Nothobranchius furzeri: one gene and its partner. The protein of the gene in region 2 binds, or shares a complex with, the protein of the main gene of each other region. Links are inferred from orthologs where the notes say so. Each region holds a gene or a part of one and is shown on either strand. Other genes may lie near its edges. The genes, in order: fblim1 and filamin-C.

Region 1 (8,226 bases), on a different chromosome or scaffold from region 2:
TCATCATAGCACAACTACAGGGTATTAAGGTCCAGACTCTGGTGGCCAATCCATGAGTGAAAATTATGATGGAATAACGTGGATATTCAGTGTTTTCAGGTATCTGCCTTCCTTTTTTGAGCTAATAATGTTACTGAAAACTGCAGCAACCCTAAAATAATAGATCCAGGTTGCCACTTTTGTTGAGCCCGGCAGTGTAAGATGCAGCTGCTGTCATGGTCTGGGTTTCCTCCTGCCATCTGTGTTTTGGTTTTGAGTCTCCCGCTGCAGGTGAGCGTGTCTGGAGGTGGCCAAGCTGTAGACGATCAGCTCATCAGCCGGCCAGGGAGTATTTAAGCTGCTGAGAGACCCCATCACTTCGCTGGATAATTACTCTTCCTTGGGTACTTTTAAGCCATCTAGAGATTGAACATTTGAGTGTTTTTAGCTTTGAGCTCTCGTGCCTTTTGAACTTTGGATTTTTGCATTTTTTGATCTTCTGTTACTGTTTTCAGACAAAACCTCCACTCCCATCTCTGACTGGCTGAACTCTGGTGAAACTCATCTCCGCTCGTCTCTCGGTTTACTCCCTGGTCAACTCCACCTCCAGTAGCCCACCAACTCTCACCTGGATTCGCACCCTCTCCTCGCTCAGCTCCCTCCACCTCCAACTCAGGAACCCCCCCGTTCCAAGAAACCATCATCTACCCAGACCAGACCAACAATTGCTCCCCACCCCCCCCACCCCGAGCAATTCCCTCCTACAGACTAAGTTCTCTGCAGATTCAATATTACCCGTTTCCCCTTTTCTCAAGTTGGACCTAACTTACGCCGGTCTGCAGATTCCCGCTCCCGACCCCGTTGAAGATATCAGCTACGTTTTGCTGCTCCCTTGGTTCCTCTTAATAAATTATTTGTTTACAACTTTCACCACCGCCTCTGAACTGATTCTGTATGTCGTGGGTTAGATACCTACACCACAACATGACAGCTGCAGGTGTGAACAACTTTTCCAGAGTTTGTGTGTGTATAGGTGTGTGTGTGTGTGTGTGTTGTGGTTCTAAGTGAGATTATGGTGACTCAGACCTGGTAGCAGCTTTCACAGAGTGGGATTCCTGCCTTGTTGTAGTACTGTTTACCAGCCAGGGGGACGTGACAGGATCTACAGTGGAAGCAGCTTTCGTGGTAGGTTCTGTTCAGGGCCTCTAAAGCAGGTTCAGGAAAGGCTACAGTTTTCCGACAAAAACCGCACACGTCTGCAGTTGAAACAAATAGCAAAAGTTCATAAAGGGTTATGATCTCTGTACCGTTTAAAGGGTGTGGGTGGTACCTTTGCTTTCCCTGTTTGTGTCTTGGCTGTTTTGAAGGATCTCATGGGTTTCATAATCTCCGGTCGACCAACCAGATGGCGTGCATCTCTCCACCTTAAATTAAAATCCCATTCATGTAAAACTTCATCAAACTGAGATAAATATAGGGGGGGGGGGGGTACGAAGGGACCTGCAAAGATTATCGCCAACTGAGTTTGATAATGGAGAGCAAAAAGATCTGAGCTTGATTTTATCAGATTTGTTTTGGTCATCCACAGCTATGTCAGTAAAGTTATACTCTGCGTTTTTTAAGAGCTTTAAAGGTGTGGTTCACTCATTTAATCAATACATTTACAGTGTCTCTAGTAGGAATGAGTGTCCTGGTGCCCCTGTTTCAGGAACTAGTGAGCCACATCAGAGTTGAGCTTCAGGCGGCAGGGTTTGGAGTCCTATTTCCTGATGTCTGGACATCTCGCCTCTGATTGGCTAACGACACTGTGACTCTGCCACTGACTGTGCTCTGCGACGTTGATGTTTTATCTCCACAAATAACAGAAGCCTGAAAGAGTTCTGCTGTGTGGTGGAGTGGCTAATGCTAATGGTTAACTGAGACATTCTCTGCTGTTTCCAGCCTTCCCTGTCGTGTGTCAGGATGGGTGAGTCTAGCTTTCAGTGACAGTGTGATGTAGATCTGTCAAGATTTTCAAATCGTAAGGTTTCACCTTCTATTTTCTATCAGAAGCTAATGGGTGTCAGAGACTATTTTCATGTTCAGCCTGCATGAAAAACTAACCGACTATAATCAGAAGTAATTTAAAAATGGCTTTTCAGTGAACCACACCTTTAAATCTTACTGACAGGATCTCTAGTCATCACTTGTGGCTTTTGAACTAATAAACTGCAACAACGTTGATTAAATGACTTACAGCTGGAGAGGCCGTAATTGTGCTGGGTAAAAAAAAATCCTGTAAAGAACAAAAACCACAGGAAGACTAGAAAATGGACCAGAAAAAACAATAGACATCCTGTTGAGCCTCAGAACCACTTTCCTTATCTTTCTGTAGATTATATAGAGATTACGGAGCACAATTTACTTTTTTTTTTACAGACATTAGCAGGAAGTTTGAATACCTTGTTGTTGCTAACTGGATGCTGGTCTTGGCTCTGGAGATGAAGGAGACATGTTTGAGGTGGTGGTGGAAGTGATAACTCCTCAGAGAGCTTTCCTCCAGGAGAGGAGGGCGGTACATCAGTAGGAGGAGGAGGTAAGAGCTCTGTTTGGCAAAGAAAAAAATATGAAATAGTAGGAAAAAATACTTGTACATTTTCCTTTACTTACATGGCCTTAAAGGTGCATTATGTAAGAATTAAGTAACAAGGACATCCTGTGGTCACATTCAATTACTGCAGCCCATTTTCAAAACTGTTATTTTCTCACCACTTTCCCACAGTTTCATGGCTGTTCACAGCCACGGTCTCTAGCACCAGAAGATTCTTGATGATGCGTGATGACGAGTCATACGCAGTAAATTGATAATCAAATAAATACATTTCACTGTAATGTTAAGTTGTTTGCAACTGAAAAAGTAGCTTGATATTTATTTTGAGACAATTATGGGTTTCTAATTCACTGTTAACTTTATTAGCTCAATGTTAGCCTCTAGCCTTCTTTACCAGATATTAGAGTAAAACAAAAAATATGCAGTGACTTCTTAGGGGTACAAGAAATAACTTCTGGGTAGCACCTGTAACTGGCTTAGGATCTTTACAAGGCGCTGCTGCGTTTTGCCAGCCGGTGTCGAACTACAAAATCCAGTGCTGCAGCGTTAGCTCGCGTAGACTCGGCTAACATGTGGGCTCCCAGATTGTAAACACAGACTACATCCCTTTTCTTCCTTTTGGAGGAAGGAAAACTGACATCCTGCAGCCAACATGACTGAGACATTAAACTTTTTGGTGACTAGTCACAGTAAAATTGAATACAATAAAATTGCACCTTTAAAGTATACCAATAATACACGTGGAAAAACACACCTTTTTCCACATTTTCCAACAACTTGTAGCCTTTATCTCCACAAAAAGTTTGTCCAGACAAAGGAAAAGTTGAAGTCCGACAGCTGAAATTCACGCAACTGTCATCAAAGTTAGGGACGTGTTCAAAATAATTGGGAGTGGTTCCAAAAAAGTTGGATTATTGCATAATTATACACATAAATGAATGCAGTCTCCCTTCATAGAAGCGTGACCGACCAAATGGGGTCATAGTCAAAGTAAACTTTGAGGAGTATTTCACATAGTTAAGTTTTTAGCCAACCTTCACTATGAATACCGGGAATGATCCTCTTTGTCTGGTCCTTTACTTCTTGCAGCTGTGCTTTGGTGGATCCATTGGGGGCCACTTTAGGGCTCAAAGGGTCTGATGATGATGATGATGTTGAGGGCCTTCCATGAGTCCAGTCTCTGCTATTAACTGAGCTGTAGGTGTCAGGTGATGGTTGGTCCTGTTTCTTGTATCTGTAAACAGGTGCGTTTTCACCTGGGGTGGCTCTGACAGTGTTGTGCTGTTTGTCTCTAACCGGGCCAGTGCTGGCCTGGAGGGCAGGTTGTTGCTGTGACACGGTGGCTCGATGAGGAGACGCCAGTGTGATGAAGACAGAGGACACCATCCTTTTTGGTGGAGCTGCTGATGCCATGGCTGTATGGAACCTCCGTACAGCCTGGCAGAGGCTCAGAACAATGATCTAGAAAAATGTTTAGATTGAATTCGTTCACCAACAGTCTTTGTCATCTCTGCAGAAATCCGTTCACACTCTCGCAGCTCAACTCACAACCCATAATGAATGGTTAAAGATGTAAAAAGCAGAGATCTGTATCATCTGTTTCTCTCAAACCCACTCACGCTGAAGTGCTCTGACGTACCTGAAACTAAAACGTGCCTCTCCCTTCTCCTTCCTCTGTCTTCCTTGCTTGGTATCTCAAATTTTCCCGATTATTCTCACTCCCACAAGCTCCCTCTGAGAGAAGACTTTACTCCGGTGGAGAGGGGTGACTATCTGCAGAAAAGCCACTCCTTTTCCTCCTCTATCTCCCCTCCTTCCTCAGCTCTCCCCTCCTCCTCCTCCTCCTCTGGCTGAGTGACAGCACAGCCTCCCTCCTGACCATAAAAAGTGAACAACTAATCTCTGGCAAAGTTCAGTAAAAATTATGACACATTCATCCGCTATGAAAACTTGGCAATCACAGAAACTCTCAAGCAACTACACGCTCACACACACACACACACACCCACGCTTAGTTGTGCAATAGCTGTGCAGTCACTCCAAAAGGACAAAGGTAGTGTTTTTACAATTGCATAGAGTGAAAGGCTTTCACCTTGACGTGGACAAGCGGAGACACCTCCCACTTTTATCTCTGCATGCCAGCAGGATGTGACTCTACCTGCCTCGCTCTTTACATCAAACCTTTCTTCTTCTCTTTCTTGTGCAGCTTATTGTTCTGTAAACCTTACTTTTCTTACTTCCCTCGTCGGGGCTGCCTCCCCTTTTCTTCTCCCTCTTTCCTGCTTCCCTTCCCCCACATTATATCACTTTAGCCTTGACTCACTATCAGTAATCTTGTGGTATTAACTCCATTTGGGCCCCACAGATGTCCAGACCCGAACACACAGTTTGATTACAGTGGGCTTTATCAGACTCTTCGGGGGGGAGGTTTGGTGCTCAGACGTGCAGACGTAGCTTCAGGGAGAATAATTATTGTGAAACGAGATCTTAGTATATCAGCAGAAGGCCTAAAAGTCAAGCAGGAGGTTGGAGACAGAACCCGACCGTATGTGGGTCAGAGTGAAGCAGGAATGTGCAGAGAGGGTTGACGGGAGCCAGCGATGAGGAGAGTGATGGGGGTCTCTGTTGTTCCAGCTCTGTGGAAAGGAATGCTGCAGTGATGTCACGGCTGCAGGAAGGAGCATGCCCACAGATGATACAAACCCAAGACCACCACGCTCCACCCCCTCAACAGCCCAAATCCTCATTAAACCCTGTGAACCTCTCCAACAGCACGCTTTCAGGCGTTACGTTTAAGTAGCAGGAAACGGATTCACACGGCGAGCACCTTTTTGTGTTGGATTTTTTATTTTCCAAGAATTTCAACATCAAAGTTCACAAAATTCTCATTTTTAACTGCTGTTCCGTTCATCAGCACATCCAGGTGTAAAAAGGTCACCGGCGTTTGAGGCAAGCATCCCATTAACTGTCATCTAACAGGAACTTTCCTGTCTTTGTGCTGGGACTAAATCTTCGTTCTTCTTTGCTGAAGCTGGTTTCGTGTTCTTCCTGGAACAGAATCGTTAAAGTCACATTTCTGTTAACCTTTGGGCTCGGTTGTGCAAAGCCAAGAGAGTAATAAACCTTTAAAGCGGCCTGCAGCAGATCCTCAGAAGACAGCAGACAAACTCCTTCTCCTATAAAAGATACGAGGACGTGAAGCACATCAGACCAGGTTCCCACTGCCAGCATGAGCACCAGTAAGCCTCCCAGTCGCACCACTACAGTGCGCAAGAGGGTCTCTGAGACCGTCAGCCGGTGTTGTTCCTCTGGAAATGATGAAGCATTTTGTTACCATCAGTTCCTGCCTTCATTTGAACCCTTTACGGCAAGTAAGTTTAAAATGTAAATCCCAGAGTGCCGTTAAATGATAAATGATAAATGACCCACACTTGTATAGCACCTCTCAGAGTAAGGACTCCAAAGCGCTTTACACTACAGTGTATCATTCATCCATTCACACACACATTCACACACTGATGATGATGAGCTTCGATGTAGCCACAGCTGCCCTGGGGCGCACTGACAGAGGCGAGGCTGCCGAGCACTGGCGCCACCGGTCCCTCCGACCACCACCAGCAGGCATGGTGGGTTAAGTGTCTTGCCCAAGGACACAACAGCAGGATTCTCTGTCCGGAGCCGGGATCGAACCCGCTCAACCTGCTGAGCTACTGCTGCCCTGTTGTGGTTCATAACAAAAGTTTCCTTTTGCTGTTGCAATTTTCAAAAATGTTTATTTTCATGCAGAAATCCACAGAAAATAAAGTGTTCATATACGGTGGTTGGCCCTGAACAAGTGCAATAAACATTAATGCAGAACAATATCATTAGAATCACATTCTAGAACACTACAGCTGCAGAATAATACAGAATGTTCTCTTTACACAAAAGTTTACAAAAACAGACTACAGCAGAACATTTCTGAATGTTACTGAACAATATAGATCAAATATAGATTAGAATATTTTCAACTGTTATATAAAAAAAGATTAGCCTCAGTGCCATCTTCCTCCTCTTCATCATCATCATCATCATCATCATCATCCCTCGTCACTCGTCCTCCAATTTCCATGGAAATCTTAGCAAGAAACAGCAAAATACATTCAATATTATTACTTCCAATATGAAGAATATGTATCAAAAATTTTGATTTTGCGTATAAATATAAAACATTGAACTTGTTCAGGGCATATGACACAACATGGCAGCTTTGATTTGATGCTATAATTTCACCAACTTCATACAGTTTAACACACAGCAAATAGAAGTGCTTAACTAGGCAGCTGTGTCATGTGAGAGGTTCATTAACTTACCATCAATCGTTTTTGAGATCCGACTTTAAATATGAGAAGAGACCGAGCTAAAGGAAGGCAGTTTTTCGGTTCTTCAGACACACCCATATTTGGAGCGTCCCGGACCCGTGCTGATTGGCCGAACAGCACCATGACACCATCTGTGACTAGCTTGATCTCTGATGAATGGTTGGGTGAAATTCAGCAATTAATGAAAAGGCACACTGGCATAATTTATGATGAGAGCAGAAGTGTTAGAATATAGACGCTGTGTGGGTTTAATACAATATAAATAACATGAAACTCACTGCATTAATACTTACTATGCACCTTTTTTATCTAGGTAGTGTTTGTTTGTTTGTTTGTTTGTTTGTTGAGGGGGGCACTGAACATAGCGACCGGTCTTTCTGAGAAAATGTTATTTAATTTTCAGTTGATCACTCATCAAAAACATTTAATTGTTTAATGCCATTATTTTAAATCTATAGTCCACAATTTTCTTTGTATTTTTGTCTGACAAATTTCCAAATAGTTGATGACCAAAAGTGTTTTTCTTTCTGAAAACCAGCTGTTAGCCATATTTTTTTTATTTCAGTTAAGTGTAAAACATTCAACATCCTGTTAGCTAAGAGGGGCTAATTATTATTTTGTGTTATTATGTTTTTAGCTGGTATTTTGACTGTTTATCTTGAAAATGTTTGCAGTGGATTTCCTGCAAAAAAAAACGTATGTAAAATATAATTCGGTTTATTAAATGTGGTCAAAATGTTGCCTTTGTTGTTAACTAGTTTGAATGGTAATATACTATTTAAAAATCAAGCAACCTATTTAAATATTTACAATCAGCAAAAGTTTCCACTTAAAAAAACGACTGACTAAAAACTTAGCTAATAATTTAGAGTTCTTTTCAAAGTCCGCATTCCATTTGGAAGGACGTTCAGCTTGTTTCCGTCTGTTACAGATGTGGAACGCAGCCTTCGCCAAAACACCAGTTCTGTCACAACTGGTAGGCCAAATGTCTGATACGGAAAAGGTCAACAGTCCATTCAGTAAACAGCATATTTACAAATTAGTTAGGTTTTTTTTAAAACTTCTTTGACCACATTTAAATTGCTTGTCTATTTTCATTTTTAAACTTTTAAGCTGTCAAGTTGAATTCCTGCATCTTTTATTTGTTGGGATTTCACAGAAAGTCTGCTAAGCCTCTGGGATCTCTAGACTGCCCTGTTCAGCAGCGTTGACCGTCACCTTGGTTATAAACCACCAACATGGTGTAGCAGAGTGTCAGCGGGGTCCAGAACTTCATAGCATCCTTGTGAGATAAGA
Region 2 (7,691 bases):
AGCTGTAAATGATCCAAACAAGCTAAGTAAGAGGATGATTCACCTTAAAAAGTTTCATCTAATTAAAATTCTCATAAATGTGCATGTTGTATTTAATCCAGCCACTTTTACTACTGTGTCAATGTACAATGCATCACATTTTCATTATTTTTAATCATGTTAAATTGTGATTTGTTGTATAAAAAACAAATTTAAATTCCATACATGGATTATATTAGATTTGTTTCTAATTCACTTGACTTCACTGTACAAACTGGATTCGTCCCAGTAACATGACCCCCACAGTGTGAACTTACACGGCGCTCCAGCCACGCCTCTTGCAAGGCCAGGTCCTCCTGCACGGACCTTGTGTGCTCCACCTTCCCCCATGGGTCCTACTGTAAACTGGAAGGGGCTTCCAGGTACGTGCTGTCCTCTGTATTTGACATTCACAGTGTGCGGTCCGATCTCCTGGGGGATGAAGCGAACGCTGTATGTGCTGCTCCCTCCATCCACAATGTCAGCATCCACCGTTTTCCCACTGGGACTGGTCACCTGTGCTGTCATGGCCTGGGAACCGCTCTCAACTGGTGAGTCAGACCAAAGCAGCACATTAAACACTTGTTCCTTTTTTTTTATCTTTATGACTTAAAAGCAAAGATATGGACACACCCTCCGGTCTGGAGGTGATGCCAGCGAAGCTGCTGAGGCTCTCTCTGCCCAGAAAGTCTCCAAAAACATCTCTGAAAGGACTTCCTCCTCCTCCTCCCATCTGGGTGCTCTCCTCCACTCGCACCTCCCTCTTGGTCTCCCCACCACGAGTCTTGCTGATCTCTGTCCGCTCAGTGCGGGTATAGGTGTGGCTGCTGCGGGTGAATGTCCTGGTTAGCCTTTCCTGCGCTGAAACCATCTGGAACCAGTTTCCTGCAGCCAGGAGGAAGAAGCAGTGAGAATACCAATACATGTCTGCAGCAACCTCGTTTATTTTAAAGCAGTCGACCGCTGCACTCTAACCGTTTCTGACCGGATGATGTACTCACCGGGGATCTTGAGGTTAAGACCACATGTGCTGCCCACTGAGGCAATAGAAGACGCCTGTCTCTTTCTGGTAATGCTCTCCTTAATCCTTCCTTCTCCAGTCACCTTCACTGTGAAAGGACTTCCTTCACAAAGACAGAGAAATGCACAAATTTACTTCTTTTTTTCAGGATTTTTTCATTATTTATTTTAAAGTAAACAAATTCTGACCTGGGATGTGTTTTTCTGCAAACTTGATATTGACGGTATAACTTCCTGGTTCGGTGGGGCAGTATGTCACCCTGCACGTTCCATCCTCCATGTCCTCACAGTTGATATCTACTTTGCTTGGACCCTCAATTGACAATGCCAGTCCACCATAGCCTAGGGGAACAAATGAAACAGTTTAATATTTTACCTGGCAGTACTTATGAAGAATGGCGCAGAACCATTTTTAAGACTCACCAGCGTTCCTTGTATCCACAAAAAATTCAGCCATTTCAAAAGTGTGTGCCTCCACCAGGCCTTTGCCGAAAGCCTTCACTCTGCTGGCTTCACCGATCTCAGACTGGCCAACCATGATTTTAAAAGGACTGTTTGCTACATGCATGCCGTTTTTCCTCACACTCACTTCATGCTCTCCAACCTCCTTCGGGGTGAAAGAAATGCCTGTGATTGTAAGAGAGGCCGGAAGAAACGCAATCAGCAACAAGGACTGAAAAAAGAGCTGAAAATCTCAACAGAATAAATCAAACATCAATGGGATATTTATCAGTGCTCTATTCCCTCGCTATCTAGCGTTTGTTGTGAGGAAACGTCTCACCAAGATGTCTGTTGGGGAGCCTCTTGAGCAGGCAGGGTTCTTCGTTGCCTGATGGAGCTCTGATACTGGCAGTCAGAGAGCTCAGATCAGTCTCCGCGATCTTCAGGGACACGTCGGCAGCAGTGCCGACATTGAGCTGGGATGTTCTGGTTATGGTATCATCCCCTAACATAAAAAATGCTGGTTCATGCTTTGGTTTACAATAAACTCCCTGATATAAACACATATCAGGAGAAGAAATTCTGCCCAAAAGGAAAAGGATGCATTTCCCCACCTGTGATCTTGGCAGTAAAGGGGCTGCCAGGAATGTGCTTGTTGTCAAATTTGACAATGATGCTGTAGTCTCCTGGTGCTGTGGGGAAGTAGGACACTGTGCAGGTGCCATCTTTGTTGTCCTTGCAGGTGATCTCAGCTTTAGAGGGACCCTCCACTGCAAGTGACAGACCACCTGGGAGAAGGATGCAAAGCTCAGACAACCGTTTTCAGCCATTTAGCACAGAAATGTTTCATCCCTTAAAATATTAAAAATGTAGGTGATGTTTACCTTCTCCTGCGTTCTTGGTCACCACAGTGAAAGCAGCAGCTTTGTTCACGGTCCCATAACTCAGACCTGGACCGTAAGCAGTCACGACTCCGCTGTTCACAGCGTCCACATAAAACTGCAGAGGACTCCCTGTGAGGAGACGAAATCATTTGAAAACATTAAACTTGAGCGAATGCAGCTTTGACTGACATTTATGGGATTTCACCCATAAAATCAGAAGAAAGAGGAGGCAAACTGTTTCTGCCCTGCTGACCTGGAATGTGGTTTCCATCATATTTGATGTCCATCTCATGCAGGCCTCTTTCTGTGGGCTGGTACTTGATCGTGATGGTGCCGTCCTTATTGTCGGTGATGTGTGGGCGACCCGTTTTACCAGAAGGCATCCGAACCTCACCTAGAGCCAAACATTAGCCTCATGAGTTCTGAGCTTTGGTTTGCATTTGTGAATGTCCCTAAACTATTTGGGATTACTAACACCACCTGTAGAAATAAAACATGTACATTTATATGAATTTAAAAGTTTACATAAAACAGGTCTGAGATAAAATGTTGTGAAGTCAGAATCCTCAGGTTTTGCCGCTCATCTTTGTTAGTCATGCGTTCTAACATTTTGTTATTATTTGAGTTAGTCTGACCTGTGATCTCTCCCTGCTGTGGGGTGAACGGCACCAGGAAGTTGACAGGACGAAAGAGAGGATCCACGGTATCACGGGGAACCACTGGCTCGTTTGTAGCCTGGCAGTTTAATAAGACAAACGCTCAGAAAAAGCACACCAGCCACAAAACTGTAGCGATCGTTCAATTGTACTTTCCTCACCATCACTTGAAAAGGGCTCTTTGGGATGTTCTGGCCCCCAAAGCGGATGGTAATTACATATTTCCCGGGTTCAGGGGCTGTATAGTAGATGTCAAAGGTCCCGTCGTGATTCTCCACCACATCCATGTCCAACTCCATCCCCTGTGGGGTGAGAACCTTGCAGGTCACCTTGCCTTTGCCGGCTGCCTTGGCATCCACAGTGATCACTGTATCCTCGGAGGTTTGCAGCTTATGGAGACTTGCTGTTAGGAACAGAGAGAAGAGATGAATAGAAAGTGGCATCAGACATGAAATTATCCCTAGATCTTGTCACGTGCAGTAGAAGTGATGTTAAAACAGAAAGATAAAGTCTTTGTTACTCACACACGCCGTGTCCTCCAATTGAAACTGGAAATTTGAAGGGAAAAATGTTAAAACAACTATAATATATATCTTTTTTTTTATTTACATGAACAATTAAAGAAATGGAATGGTTTTTTTACCAGTGAGGCGGCATTTGCTAGCATCCCCTGTGGGCAGGGACTGGATGCGGTACGGGGAGTAGGGAATCTCATCTCCTCCGTATTTAATAGTGATCGTGTAGGGTCCTGTAGAGTCAGGGACATAGGACACCGTGTAGGTTCCATCCCTGTTATCCTGGATAGTCGCATTCTTCGGCTTGCCCTCTGGGTCCTATGGAAAAAAAAAAGATTAAATTTACTTAAATATTAAGTGGCTCATGAGTCTGATTATTAGCTGAGTGTTGCTTTGTGCTGAACCCACCAGAATCTGCACAGTGAGCAGCCCCTCTCCAGCATCACGAGCATCAATGGTAAACTCTACAGGCAGGCTGGCAGCCACACCTTTGGTGTCTAGACCTGGGCCACTGGCACGAACCTTGCTGGCATCGTGCCCAGGCTGAGACATCACCTTGAATGGACTGTTGAGACGCAGCATACAGGGTAATTAACAAAGTCAGTGTGAGAGAAAATAAAAGAAGGATGGAAAACCGACTGTAGCACACCTCCTTTTTCATAAAACCATTCAGGGAGAGTTTTAATGGAGACATTTCTAAAGACATGACCTGACTAGGTATGTGTATTTTAACACACGTTTGATTAAACTATACCTGTGCGGGACTTCCTGATCTGCATATTTGACCGCTACAGTGTAGGGGCCGTCCTGTGCCGGGGTATAGTGAACTGTGTGGGTGCCGTCCCCATTGTTCTTCACACCAACAGGCTCAACACTACCTGTAAGTTATGATAAAGCAAAGGCTTACAATCTAATTAGTGAATACGTTAGTCCTTTTCCTCATAGAGATGATTCCCACCTGTTGGTCCATAGAGTTTGACGTCCAGCGGGGCCTGCCCAGCCTGGGTGCAGTCCGCTGTGAAAGTCTGAGGAACGTGAGCTCTCACTCCAGCGCCCAGACCTGGACCAGAGCATTTCACCTTGCTGGGGTCTACCGGGTCCTTCACCAGCACATGGAAAGGACTCCCAGGGATGGGCTGACCTCCATAGGTAATATTTACATCGTAGTCTCCAGGAGTGAAGGGAACATATTCCACACTGCAGCTGCCATCTTTGTTGTCTTTGCAGGAAATTTTTGCCTCTGAGGCTCCTTCAATCGTCAGACCTAGCCCTCCAGTACCAGCACCTCTGAGAGAGAAGCCAGTGTTGTTAATTATTCATTCATTCTTTAACTCTATAATGTTAAAATTTAATATTTGCACACTTCCTTGCACATATATCTTCTCTGAGTGATTGAAGCAGTACCTGGTTTCCACAGTGAAAAAGTTTGACTTGTTGGTTATTCCACCCTCTAGACCTGGCCCAAAGGCACGGACCCGGGTAGGATCACAACCCTCCACCACAAACACTCTGAAGGGGCTTTTAGGAACAGGCGTGCTGTCATACAGCACCTCAATCAGATGCATTCCTGCATGCAAACAGAAACATCTTGACTAACGTTTTACATTTTGTTTGTGTCCTCAAAGCAAGGCAAATATTTTCTGCTAATGCCTCTCGCCTTTAATTATGGGCCAGTCAAATTCCCTTTTAGGGAGACAAACGTCTGTTTATTTATAAAAGATGCCATCCAGAGTACAGACGCTTCACTGAACAGACAAGACGATACATCTGTTCCCTATTCATTATTCTGTTACAACATTTTTCTGACAGAGTGCTCTCAGTAGGCCTATACAGCATATTCCCAGCCACACTGCCATGATATTAGAGCATGTCTGTTGGTGGAGAAGCGCTCTGTGATCTCTTTGCTTTGTGTTATAGGTCTCTATTAATACCCCATGTCATTCCTTTGCTGTACCGTTGTGTGCAGGCAGTCTTCAGCACACATACCTGCCTGGTTAAGAGCTTCTGTTCCAGAGCGCACTATTTATAAAGCAGAGCCTCACTGCCTGCTTGCTCTCTGCCCCTAACATCATTGCTCGACTGCATCATTCTGTATTTATACCCCTCTCTCACTCCATCTTCCTTTTCCCACTCTCCTGCTTTATTCCCAAATTATGCCTGAGACAGGCACCTGTTAATGATTTGTCCATCTGTATGCACATTGACTCCACTAACGTAAAATCCTTTGTTTGCTCCACATTGGATGTAGCAAATGTTTAACTTCATTAATTATTGATTCACATTTTCTCTGTGCTCTTACCATCCTCAAAGGCAGTGTACTCCACTCTGTAAGTGCCGTCGCCCTTGTCGGTAATGTAGGAGTCTGTGTTGGTGCCGGAGGGGTTGATTATGTGGACCTTTACATGACTGCCACCAGCCTTGTTAAGGGCACGCGCATCAACAATGAAGTGGGTTGTGACTTCCCTGAGGACCCCTTGAGACACAAAAGCACTTCAGGTGATTTGGTGCCCAGCACTCAAATAAGCCTAATAACTCAGAGCCATCAAACATCCCTACTGATGCTGATTTCTGCGTGACAGTGGTAATTCAACAACCGTTGTTCACACGAGACAGAAATGCATTTTGAGCTTACCTCTAGGCTCCACCCCAGGACCATAGACATGAACTCCACTGGTGTCCAAGGAGGGTTCCACTTGCAATACTTTTGGAAAGTAGGGAATTGCGTGTCCACCATATTTGATGGTGATGGTGTGAGATCCGTGGAAGGATGGGATGTAGGTGACAGAGAAGGTACCCTCTGAGGTTTTCTGGATGTGCACCTCAGCTTTAACCCCAGTTTCGGACACAATTTCGATGGTGAGCTCAGCGTCACCCGCTCTGGTGCAATCCACGGTGAAGGTTGCTGGTTCACCTGCCTTGGCCTTCTCCAGGCCCGGCCCACTGGCCATTACTTTGCTAGGATCGAAGGCTGGGCGAACTTTGGCTTTGAAAGGGGAGCCAGGGATGTGCTGCTCAGCAAACAGGATGTTGATGGCGTACTCGCCGGCATCAGTGGGGAGGTAGGACACTGAGCAGGTCCCATCTCCATTGTCATGGCACTCAATTTTAGCCTCACAGGGACCTTCTACTGTCAGGCCAAGTCCACCTGCACCAGCTCCCTTTGTGTCAATAGTGAATGGAGCTGGTTTACCCACAATGCCACCCTTAAGGCCTGGACCAAAGGCTCTTACCTACAAACATACAGCCAGTTTTAACCCTCAACAGAAAAGTAACTGAAATACTTAATCCTTTTTTTTTCAGGAAGTCAAAGATTGGATTTGGTACCTTTGAAGAATCAGCTGGCATGACTGCTTCAACCCCAAAGGGACTACCCATCACAGGGTTCCCATCATAGCTCACATCAACCTTGTACTGTCCTTCCTCTGGAGGGATGTACTTCACACTGTGAGTGCCTTTGGTTTTGTCTGACTCCAGCTTGCAGGGGATGGGTCGACCAGAGGGGGATGTCATCTTCACACCTACGTTGCCCTGCCCACCTGCACCCTTTGTGTTCACTGTGAACTCCTGATCTTTTCCCACCTCCACTTCTGCAAGCGAGAGTGCAGTGGAAAACTTTAATATCAGTATACCCTGTGCAATTGTGTGATAACCTGTGGTAATGTTACTTACTGGTATCCAGCCCTTCCACCTTCACCTTTCCAATATCCAGAGCTGGTGCTACTGTGATTTGGAAAGGGCTTTTGGGAATGGGATCTCCTCCATGAGTCACAGAAATAGCCATGTTGCCCTGAGAAAAAAAGCACGCCAGAAGAAGAATGACTCCCTCCTCATTTGAGGGTGTGGTTATTAATAATATTCTTCATCAAACTCTCCACACCTGCTGAAGAGCCGTGTACTTGACGGTGTAGGAGTAATCGTGGTTATCAATGATCTCAAAGTCACGAACTGCCTCTCCAGGGCCTGGCGCGGCAAAACGCACCTCAGGCTTGGCTTTTCCAGCTCCTTTTGTGTAGATGGTGAAGTGTGTTGGCGTACCCACCTCCACACCTGAATTTAGTTTTGATAGCGTCATCAGTAACCAAATCAAACACTTTCAGTGGACATTGTTGCACACAAAAACACTCTGATGATACTTAACACATCTCACCTGTCTTATT

What was found.
Region 1: the proteins of filamin-C (region 2) and fblim1 are in contact, whole or in part, in an NMR structure (PDB 2K9U), measured with the Homo sapiens proteins. The link is inferred for Nothobranchius furzeri from reciprocal best matches to the Homo sapiens genes FLNC and FBLIM1. Residues at the interface, in NP_001449.3 of Homo sapiens: Thr2339, Ala2344, Gly2345, Gly2346, Leu2347, Ser2348, Ile2349, Ala2350, Val2351, Glu2352, Gly2353, Pro2354, Ser2355, Lys2356, Ile2359, Phe2361, Asp2380, Glu2382, Phe2387; in NP_001337080.1 of Homo sapiens: Arg8, Val9, Ala10, Ser11, Ser12, Val13, Phe14, Ile15, Thr16, Leu17, Pro19.

Annotation. Positions count from the first base shown.
Region 1 is NC_091743.1:45,858,011-45,866,236, forward strand, and holds the start of fblim1 (filamin-binding LIM protein 1), read right to left. Parts: upstream 4,383-8,226; 5' UTR 4,209-4,382; intron 4,031-4,208; 5' UTR 3,983-4,030; coding exon 3,604-3,982; intron 2,564-3,603; coding exon 2,421-2,563; intron 1,404-2,420; coding exon 1,310-1,403; intron 1,236-1,309; coding exon 1,066-1,235; intron 1-1,065. Other genes in the region: transmembrane protein 82, read right to left, coding at 5,531-5,617, 5,693-5,877, 8,149-8,226. UniProt on the Homo sapiens protein: Serves as an anchoring site for cell-ECM adhesion proteins and filamin-containing actin filaments. Is implicated in cell shape modulation (spreading) and motility.
Region 2 is NC_091744.1:62,147,749-62,155,439, reverse strand, and holds part of filamin-C, read right to left. Parts: coding exon 7,682-7,691; intron 7,582-7,681; coding exon 7,412-7,581; intron 7,322-7,411; coding exon 7,204-7,321; intron 7,122-7,203; coding exon 6,859-7,121; intron 6,765-6,858; coding exon 6,167-6,764; intron 6,008-6,166; coding exon 5,834-6,007; intron 5,102-5,833; coding exon 4,939-5,101; intron 4,822-4,938; coding exon 4,493-4,821; intron 4,413-4,492; coding exon 4,289-4,412; intron 4,100-4,288; coding exon 3,943-4,099; intron 3,853-3,942; coding exon 3,663-3,852; intron 3,568-3,662; coding exon 3,544-3,567; intron 3,423-3,543; coding exon 3,181-3,422; intron 3,099-3,180; coding exon 2,999-3,098; intron 2,758-2,998; coding exon 2,617-2,757; intron 2,493-2,616; coding exon 2,364-2,492; intron 2,268-2,363; coding exon 2,094-2,267; intron 1,985-2,093; coding exon 1,820-1,984; intron 1,666-1,819; coding exon 1,462-1,665; intron 1,381-1,461; coding exon 1,228-1,380; intron 1,143-1,227; and 7 more.